2 linked regions of the Drosophila melanogaster genome follow. The protein of the gene in region 1 interacts with the protein of each later gene in a pairwise test. Each region holds a gene or a part of one and is shown on either strand. Other genes may lie near its edges. The genes, in order: Ephrin and Nrx-1.

Region 1 (4,843 bases):
GCATAACGGTCTGCAATAACAGAGGTTTTAATTTACACAAGACCTGTGGTCGATTAACAGCTTAAACCTCTCCATCCAGCTCCAGCACAAGACGAAGGACTCCGTGGGCGGCGGGATGTTGTGGGCCGAAGTTCAAGGTCAGATTACGCACCGACTTTTCGACAGGCGTTACTTTGCCTAGTAGAGGAGGTAAGTCAAGCGATTAGTTCAAGGGTCAGTTTAATATTGGGTTACCAACTAACTGTTCCATGGTGGCACTGTCCAAAGTGATGTGACCTCGTCTGGATACATCACCGGGCCGCTAAACTGCTTCATGAACTCAGGGTCTGGATACCACTTGGCTGCTCCCCGTCGCGTCTCCTGAGAACTAAACAACGAGTTTCCAATTGGACAAATATAAATGATATATTCGAATTATGTAAGCATTTACTATTTACGTTAACGCGGCCGATCCAGCTGCAACAAGTTGTGGCCGCAGCCTCAAGTGTGAAAGTCCAGGAATCAACGTTCTTCTCATTATATTGGCCATCCTGATAGTCAAATTCCTCTATTTATGTTTCTTTAGTAACAATTCAGGAATCTAATACAACCAAATAGTTATCCGCAATCGGAATTCTATCCAAAAAATATCGAAAATTACTTTAAACACCGAATCTCGTACAGCTTATATACTATTTACACCAATAATATATCGCAGGTTGTTGCTTCATGAAAATGAAGTGCAAAACACATAAATTCCCTTATATATATTACACACTTTGTCATCCTGCTCGTTTACCCAAGTTTTTATTTATCTTTATATAATGTTATAAACAATAATTGCAATTAATTTTTCGAAGACCTGAATTTTACATCATCCCAATGAAGCGAATTTTGCGTTAATGGAGCACTATAAAAATATAATTACTAGAGATAATAATGATAGCTTCTGCAAGGCTAAACTTATATATCTTAGCAGTATCTCAGCAGAGCGAATGTGGACATTTAATGACTAAAAACAACGAAACTATTTAAATTCTTTAATTAACAATTGATTTCTGGACTTTTCGTCCGATGACTAAACTTAAGAAAACAAAATTATGAAAACTCTTTTAACTTGAACAAAAATTTTATGCAGTCAAGAACCGGTGCTAAGAGATAGTAACGTAAAAACGGATGATCGGACAGACGGTAGTGCTGACTCGGCTCTTGATACTGACCATATATATATTTACTTCAAATTCTTAACTCTTTCACTGGGTTTCAAACTTCTTACACCAATCAAAATAGGTTCGACACGGGTAATAGATAAATTTTAATAATTATAAAATTATTCTTAAAACATAAAATAGTGCTTAAGCCTAGCTAAAAAATTTACTAGGAACTTACATAATGGTTCTGCTACAACAAATGTCAAATAAAATCTTTATAAGACAGTTTCCTATCAATATGGTATGGTTTTTACTGTGAATATTACTTATAGTAGAAATTCGCATATGTTAAATTCAAAAAAAAAAAAAAAAACCAAACCATTTGACTTATATTATAAGATTATACGGGCCTTTGGAAAAAAATCGCTATCGATTGATTTGTAAAATTATCGATGCCCTTAAGTTTCTTTATACATCGAAAGTTAAAGTAAACATCGTTTTTTGTTCCAGCTCTAAACAAGTTTTTTTTATAGCTCTAGCTCTACAGTATTTATATAAATAATTCTTGTATGTAGTCCAAGTGTAGAAAAAACTAATTTAAATGAGCTGTTTTCGAGTATTTCTCTTCAGACAAAAACCTGTTTGGAACAATTTTTAATCATGTGAAAATGTAATTTTGAAAAAGATGTACCAAAAAAGGAAGACGGTGTTATGGGCATATATGTATATTTTGTGTTTTTATATGTCAACTATGTTATACCAACATATTTGTACCGGATTGTTAATCGTATCGAATAAGAATGTTTCCCCGAGAGTAAGATGTTTGTGTATATATAGAGTTTCTTCTGTCTCCTCGGAGAGTGTGTCGTCACTGTGTATGTATACAGAAATGTCTTTTGGTGTATACATACATATGTAATTGTATAATGCTGTTGGGATGTTTTATCACTTAAACATACAATTTTTAAGAAATATATTGATTGTTCCGTTATAAATTGAATGTCAAGAACTGCAGATCCGCTATATATTGTTGATCTTATGCCATGTTGATTGTTTATGACTATGAATGTTAAAAAATATATTAATATTTCGCCAAGCCATTACCAACCCTGTTTGTATAGAAAATGTACCATACATGTATTAAAATGTAGTATCCCACTTAAATTGATAATTGGTTTGCCGGCCTGTTAAATAAGTATTTTTGATCAATCAGGGTCGAATCAAATCAATTAGGCGGTTTCCAAAGTTAAAGCGAAGTACTTTTAAAAATCTCGTAATCTGTCAGGTGGCGGTAGTCAACATATAAATATTGTTGATCAGCATTAACAGCTGCTTATTTCGCCGACTGCCGCCGAACGCGGCGCAAACAGGATCCCTCAGTCTTAGGCTGTTTGTTTTAAAGATCAACTTGTATAAACTTTACATAAAAATATAAATACGCATAATATGCTACTGTTACATTAAAATGTTAACGCGTAATGATCTCAAAGCTTAGAATGAGTAGATATAATATGTAGTTAGATTTTGCAATGGGTAAACTAATTTCAGTCAGGATTGTCAACGAAGTAAAGGAGGAAATGTCAATAGAAGAACACATATTCTTGATCAGTTTACACAGCCATGTCGATATATTTTTTGTCTTTCTTTCCGTTTGCCAAACGACCTTCGAATTGAAGGTTGAAATCCTTTTATTTTGTAGTTCATATACATATACGGGTCGAAAAAGAATGCCGTTAAAGTATTGTTTCTTTTTTAACTGCCTAGTAAACTTTTTGACGAGATAAATTGAAAAGTATAATTCCGCTCTAAAAAAGTCGGGTTAAATTTTCTAAGAACCCTAGGTATTATATCAATTTCATTTTCAGTATCAAAATTTAATCTTGAAGAGGTGAAAACTAAGTCTACGTTAAAAAGAATACTAGACCTAAATCACAGATGAAAAAGAAACAATAATTTAACGGCCTTTTCAATTTAATTTTTTCGGATTGTTCCTATATATGCATATATATTTATATAGTGATATATATGCACAAAAGTTGTATTATTTAACTATTGTCATCAAAAATTAAATTGCACCTGACTTTATAACGCACTACATATAATTTACTCATTTATAAGAAATCTTTTAAAGGGTAAAGTAAACAACCAAACCGCATAGTAGTCTTTAGTCTGTTGGTGCGCTTCGTAACTATACCGTCCAAAGTGAGAAAATCATGTTACAAGTTACACTGCAGTTTCAGTGTTTTTTTTTTATGCCCAGAATTCGTACACGGCTACAGCGTTTTGTTGTAAAAATTGTTATTTTATTGATTGCAGATGGAGCAAGACACTTTGGTGCGGAATGACACAGATGTAGATGTAGCCAGTCAACATATTCTTATTTCGGAGGTTTATTGTATGCATTTAGCAAGAAAGCTACTAACGATCTAACATCGAAAACATTGCTGGCGGTATGCAAGAACGATCAAAGCAACTGCGTCTTACTGTTTCCTGGACCCAGTCAAAGTCTCAGATTCATGACAGTTGTCAACGTCGGAGCATGTTGGCATGTAAGAGGCGCTTAACTACCAGTAAAGTGCTTGAAGACTCACATCCACCAGTAGCTTTCCCCAATTGCAAATCTCACCGGCATCAGCAACAAAAGGAGAAACATAAAGTTCAGCTATACTCTGGAAAACCTTTAAGCATTAAGCTGTACGTGCCAGGAAGTATTGAGAGTATCCCAAAAATTCGACATAAGGCGCTTACGACAACGAATAAACAGCAACCAGCTATGCATCGAAAGTCTAAGAGCAAAAGCAAGTTTCAAGGTTTTAACAATCTCAAGCCGCTTTATTCACCGAGTAAAAGACAACCACCCGAGAAGCATTCATCAGTACTGGTGGAAGCAGGGATAGAATCAAAGGCATCACGGCATTTTGTTGGTAAAAAGAGGATTAAGAACAGAAACTGTTTGTTATCTTCGCCTCAGCCATCGCCAATGAGATGCAAAATGATGATTCCATTTCCAAAGTTTGGTGCCACATCCTTTGTTACGTTGCTCACTTTAATTTGTATGGAAACTGTTTTGCTCTCCACCATGTCTAGTTGCGCCAAGACTTTTTACATGCATTGGAACACATCGAACAGTATGTAAGTACTCAAATATAGTGGTATACTTAAGCAGCGGTATTATAATTTTATTGAAGTTAAAAATTGTAGATTTTTATTTTTCTCTACAAATGTATTATGTTTTATTACAATTATTACAGTTTTTAAGTCAGTAGTATGAGGATTATTATTATTCGTTTAGGGGATTTGTTATTTCAAATAAAATTTTCTTTCCAATAATAAGACTGCTGGCCAATAATATATTGATAAATTAATCCCTAATGTCGCGTATAAACACGCTGGGCTTTTATAAACTTTCCCAGCAATTAGTAATGCACATGAGTCATTTTCGATAGAATAACTATTGTCATAATTTGTTGTGCAAGTGAGCAGACGATGATTAGGCGATCCCATTGATCCCTAAGGATCATGATTAGTAACTTTTTTGGTAATCGCATCAGGGCATATATGGCCTACTCATTTTGTCTGGTTTTCTCTTTCTCGATATAAACATATCCATATCATCTATACCATCCATATTGCAATGGGACATTAAGTTTGTTAGGATAATGTTACTTCCAAAATCGGACAACAAACCCCAAAAACAGAAGACAAATGCACGT
Region 2 (5,279 bases), on another chromosome or scaffold:
ATTCCGCATGAGGCAAACGCTCCCTCAGCCAAGGAATGTGCTCCGCTGCTATCATGGGATCCTTCTTTCCGTGGAGTATAAAAGTAGGTATCTTTATTTTCTCAACTTCGGTGCGACAGAAGTCTCCATCCCGTTGGTCATAGAAGGCGCATGCGGCGTCCACCCATTCGGCCCACAATTGGGGGAATCTTTCGACGCCGTAAACCTTTTCCATGGGCTCACGCATGCGCGGCGACCACTTGGCCACATCCCGAATGTTCTTAAGAGCCTTGACTTCGTCAGCGTTCAAGTAGGCACCTGCTCCCCAGATTGCTAGGCGATCCACAGCTTCCGCATGGCGACCTGCGACTATGAGCGCCGTGATGCCCCCATCGCTCCAGCCCAAAATGGAGAAGCGTGGTCTGTCCAGGGCACGCATCAAATCCACGGCTGCCTGGGCATCCTCCCGAAAGAATTCAAGGCCGAACTTGCGCTGCGGCGGCACTGATTTGCCATAACCCGGCGGATCCCAGGCGATGATGGTGTGACCCGGCAGCAGTTTCGGCAGCTGCTCGATCTGGGGCCTAAAGTCGGTCCACGAGGAACCCAGTGCTCCCGGCATCAGGAGTAGACTCCGCTCCCCACTGCCGCTCTCCACAATGTTCAAATCTGAGCCATTCACACGAACTTTCCGCTCCGTGTGCAGCAAGCGCCTGGTGATCGGGGAACGGGCACCCACAAGCCGGCACAGATTGCCCAGCATTACGTAAGCGGGATCTAACGGGGATTTTGGAGTATGGCAACAAACTTAGCTGCTTCTCAAGGGCTCTTCAGATGTCCAGAGAGGAATATTTGGCAAATTCTAATCTTTACACACGACGCCTTGTAAAGTGCACTTGATAAAGATCCGTTGATAACAGCTGATTGATAAGAACAGCTGTAAGTAAACGATCGAATTAGTGTGGCTGTAGGTGCGATGATGCCATATACCGTTAAATCAAAAGTAAATATACCAAAAAACTAATTTTAAAAGAATCGTTAATTTTTTAATAATTTGAAAAATATTTTCATATTGATATTTAGGCATTGGGTGATGCACTTGCATTTTTAAGAATGTTCCTGAAATTTAAAAGATTTTTCCATTCATTTTGAAGAATATTACTTGACAATGCCGAACTCTCCACAGATTTTAAAATAATGGTAGTTTAAAAGCCCTTGAAAGTTCAAGAGCTGCCGCTCAGTTTGATTTTAAGCTTTTCGCTCTTCCCCCAGCTTTTGGCATTCCCAATCTTAGTCCTTGTTAGTCCACTTGAACGTCACGACTCCGAAGGACAATGGACAGCACGTGCTGGCATTTGTTTAGCCTTTAGCGTGCGTTAAAATATTATTAAAAACCGTAAGTGCTTAATAGCAGGATCCTGGTCCCTGCTGTAATGGTCAGTGCGTGATTCGTGTGCTCAAATTAATGTGTTCGCCTGGACTGCGACGACGATTAATGGAGGCGACGGCCTTGCAATTGCTCTCCTAGGACGAAGGAGCAGGGTGATGGGATTTGACAGAGGCAGGACATACACCCACAATCGAGAGTAAGGGACATCACATTCCACTGCCAATGCAAATGCAAATCGAATTCGACTCCGAGATGTCGAAGTTGCGTAGTAAATGTCAAGGAATTTACACGGGTCGTCTCGGAGATAGTGAGCCCGGGGGGGTGTCAGCTTGAGTTGGTGTGTGTGAGTGTGCGTGCGGCCACAGGACACCCACGCACACAGCTGAACATGCATATGTGTGTATCCATGTGAATGTGGCATCTAATACGCTTTAGTGGTGCAGGTTATGAACCTGCGTGCTATTCGCTTATTACGCATGTGTGAGTGGGCAGCTGGTGTCTATGTGTGCGTTTGTGTGTTAGTAGTACACATATGCATGCCTCGTGCGAAGTAAGCGAGCTTTTAATTTTTGGCATTCCCACACACTACACTCAAAGCGTGCGGTGCTTTCCTTTTCCGTAGCACACTTTTTCGGGTAAATCAACAAAGTACCAATATAAACCATTAAATTCAAGATTTCCAGTAATTCTGAACGATTTTAACTTGTCTAAATGTAAAATCAGTAGTGTGAGGTACAAACTCCTTTGTCCAGTTCGATTGTAGTGCCATTTTCGAGTCGCCTAGACCGCACCAGTGGCTTTTTGTGAATAAGCTGGCGGAGCTTTCGTTATCCATTGGAAACAGTGCGAAGAAATTAAGTTTGAAATTGCAGTTCAGTCTTGTCGTGGATGCAGCGCGGATCGATATCGGAGCTAAAAGCAGCGGAAGGCGCTGCTAAGCAAATTTCGACACACAACATTTTTGTATCCCTCGAAATTGAACCGAAAAATCTGCAAAAATAAATTCAACCAACCAACAAAAACGAAAAGGACGCGTCGCGCTAAAATCCAGCCCGAAAAGTTACATAAAGCAGGAGCGACAAGAATATCGTGCAAATTCAAAGGAATAATTGTGTAATTGAAAAATCTGTGTGCAGTCTCTGCAACTAATTTCGTATCCAATCAATAGTTCAATCAATACGCATAAATAACTGATTGCTGTGGAATCAACCGCAGTAAAGCGCCCATTTTAGGGGCACTTGCTGTGAGGTGCTTAGAAAAATTTTCGCCTACATTTGCGATATGCAGTGAAAATTTTTTCCGATTTTTAGTATGTACATGTACGATGGAGCGCTCGTGGGCGCCACAAACTGCGGTGGCAGGGGTATCCGGCGAGCTTTTGGCCCAACCATAACCCCCAGTATTACTAATACAGCCGACTCGGTCGGAGAAACGGTTGTCTGACAAAGTATCGATGCAAAATATGCGCCGTTTTGAATTTAATTGCCAAAAATTATGCAAATCAAGTATACAAAATGCCGAAAACTGAAGGTGCTGAACATTAAGGACCAAAAAAATCAGGCGAAATCATAAGCAATAATCGGTGCAGTGCCGTTAACAGTCGACGTGTACCGTTAACATCCGCAGCCAACTTCGCGTGGCCGAGCTTTCGCTCTCGCGCGCTCTTACGCTCTCTCTTGGCAGGCGCGGATAAAACGGATTGCCGAGTAACACCAACACAAGGACACGCGAAAAGCTCGCGCTCAAGGACTGGAATACGCGACAGAAACACAGCGAGTGAGAGAGAGAGAGAGGGAGAAGGACACTTTACGTTTACGCGCGCAACGTGCGTAGGTGCCTCTGTGTGGGTAAGCCCGAGTGCCACCGTGCGTGTGAATGAAGGCGCCACATAGTGCAACATATCAGGATAACTATGCTGATGCGGCCATGACAGCCAGGACACGGCCAAGCATGGACATGGATCAGCAGCGAAATCGAAATCAGGCGGAGCTGAGGCTCCTGCCCGCCCAGCGCACCTCCACCTCCGCCTTTGAATCCCCCGACTTGCGGTTCAACAAGGCTCGCCGCCGGCGGAGAAGCGAGCAAGTGCCTCCCGTGGTCGTGGAATACCGTCGCTCCTACCGCGTGCTCATCGTCAGCGCCCTGCTGGTCAGTCTGGCGGCCAGTTTCGTGACGCTCAGCGCCGGATTCCAGCTAGATGGATCGCAAAACTCCTTCTACACCTTCCGCAAGTGGTACACCGGACTGAATGGGACCCTCGAACTGGAGTTCAAAACGGAACAGCCCAACGGATTGGTTCTCTACACCGACGACGGCGGCACCTACGACTTCTTCGAACTGAAGCTGGTGGAAGGAGCACTGCGGCTGAGATATAACCTTGGTGGCGGAGCTCAAATCATCACCGTGGGTCGGGAACTGCACGACGGCCACTGGCACAAGGTGCAGGTCCTGCGGAACGATGAGCAGACATCGCTCATCGTGGACGGCGTCTCCCAGCAGCGATCGACCAAGGGGAAGGAGTTCCAGTTCGGCAAGTTCGCGAGCAACTCGGACGTCTATGTGGGCGGTATGCCCAACTGGTACAGCAGCAAGCTGGCCCTGCTCGCCCTGCCATCCGTTATCTTCGAACCGCGTTTCCGTGGCGCCATCCGCAATCTGGTCTACGCGGACCAGCCGGGCGGCTCCACCAGGCGCCAGGAGATCAAGCAGCAGCGCGACATCAAGTGCGGCGATGTGCCCTGCGATCACGGAGAGCTGCCCGCCCGTGAAAGGCCGCTCAGGGTGAGTCCATTAGTCATTGATATACACAATACAACTTTTTATATTCTATTTAAATGATATTGATAATAAGAAAAAAGCCTCTATTTATATGTATCCCTGATTTGGTAAATAATCCTTTAATCCTGCAGGGTGTTCGGGGTGGCAACACAACCGATGCCTGTGAACGGAATGATCCTTGCCAGCACGGCGGCATCTGCATATCCACTGATTCCGGTCCAATTTGCGAGTGTCGAAACCTCGAGTACGATGGCCAGTATTGTGAGAAGGAGAAGGCGCCATCGGAAGCAACGTTCCGCGGTACACAGTTCCTCTCCTACGACTTGGGCCAGACGGGCGCCGAGCCGATAGTGAGCGCCCAGGATGCCATATCCTTCTATTTTCGCACCCGCCAGCCGAACGGTCTGCTTTTCTACACTGGCCACGGCACGGACTATCTAAATCTGGCGCTGCGTGATGGAGGCGTCTCCCTGACCATGGGTCTGGCTAATGGCAAGCAGGAGATGCACATAAAGCCCTCAAAGGTGCGCTTCGACGACCACCAGTGGCACAAAGTCACCGTGCACCGTCGCATTCAGGAGATCTCCTCCATAACCAGCTTCTGTCGGGTGGGTAACTGTTCATAGATTTTCTTGGTTCTTTATTCGAAATGGAGTTTTTTTTATCCCTGTAGCTGGTTACCGTGGTGGATGATGTCTATACGGATCACTCCCACATTGCTGGCAAGTTCACCATGCTCTCCTCCTCGCGGGTTTACGTTGGTGGTGCTGTTAATCCTCGAGCGCTTTTGGGTGCCCGTGTGCACACTAACTTCGTGGGCTGCCTGCGCAAGGTGGAGTTCTCAGCGGATACGCTTAATCTGAACCTCATAGACCTGGCCAAGAGCGGTTCCAAGCTGATCCAGGTTGCTGGCAATCTGGAATATCAGTGCCCCAGTGGCGATCCACAGGATCCCGTGACCTTCACCACTCGCGAATCGCATTTGGTAAGTTGAAACCTGTATGAAAATACGAAAAGTAATGAATTAATATTTGATTGTTATTTTAAAGGTCCTTCCTCCCTGGGAAACTGGCAAGCAGAGTTCTATAAGCTTCAAATTTCGCACCAAAGAACCGAATGGCATCATTGTCCT

Evidence for each region.
Region 2: the proteins of Ephrin (region 1) and Nrx-1 interact in a two-hybrid assay, tested with the Drosophila melanogaster proteins (one study listed by BioGRID).

What each region holds. Positions count from the first base shown.
Region 1 is NC_004353.4:570,167-575,009, forward strand, and holds the start of Ephrin (ephrin), read left to right. Parts: upstream 1-1,588; 5' UTR 1,589-2,005; intron 2,006-3,446; 5' UTR 3,447-3,582; coding exon 3,583-4,262; intron 4,263-4,843. Other genes in the region: ND-49 (NADH dehydrogenase (ubiquinone) 49 kDa subunit), read right to left, coding at 1-10, 68-177, 243-367, 438-529.
Region 2 is NT_033777.3:22,467,241-22,472,519, forward strand, and holds the start of Nrx-1 (neurexin 1), read left to right. Parts: upstream 1-2,237; 5' UTR 2,238-3,244; coding exon 3,245-4,150; intron 4,151-4,278; coding exon 4,279-4,755; intron 4,756-4,820; coding exon 4,821-5,132; intron 5,133-5,196; coding exon 5,197-5,279. Other genes in the region: CG5377 (uncharacterized protein), read right to left, coding at 1-742. UniProt on the Drosophila melanogaster protein: Neuronal cell adhesion protein involved in synapse formation, development of synaptic active zones, synaptic regulation and visual function. Plays a role in cell adhesion between the pre- and the postsynaptic cell.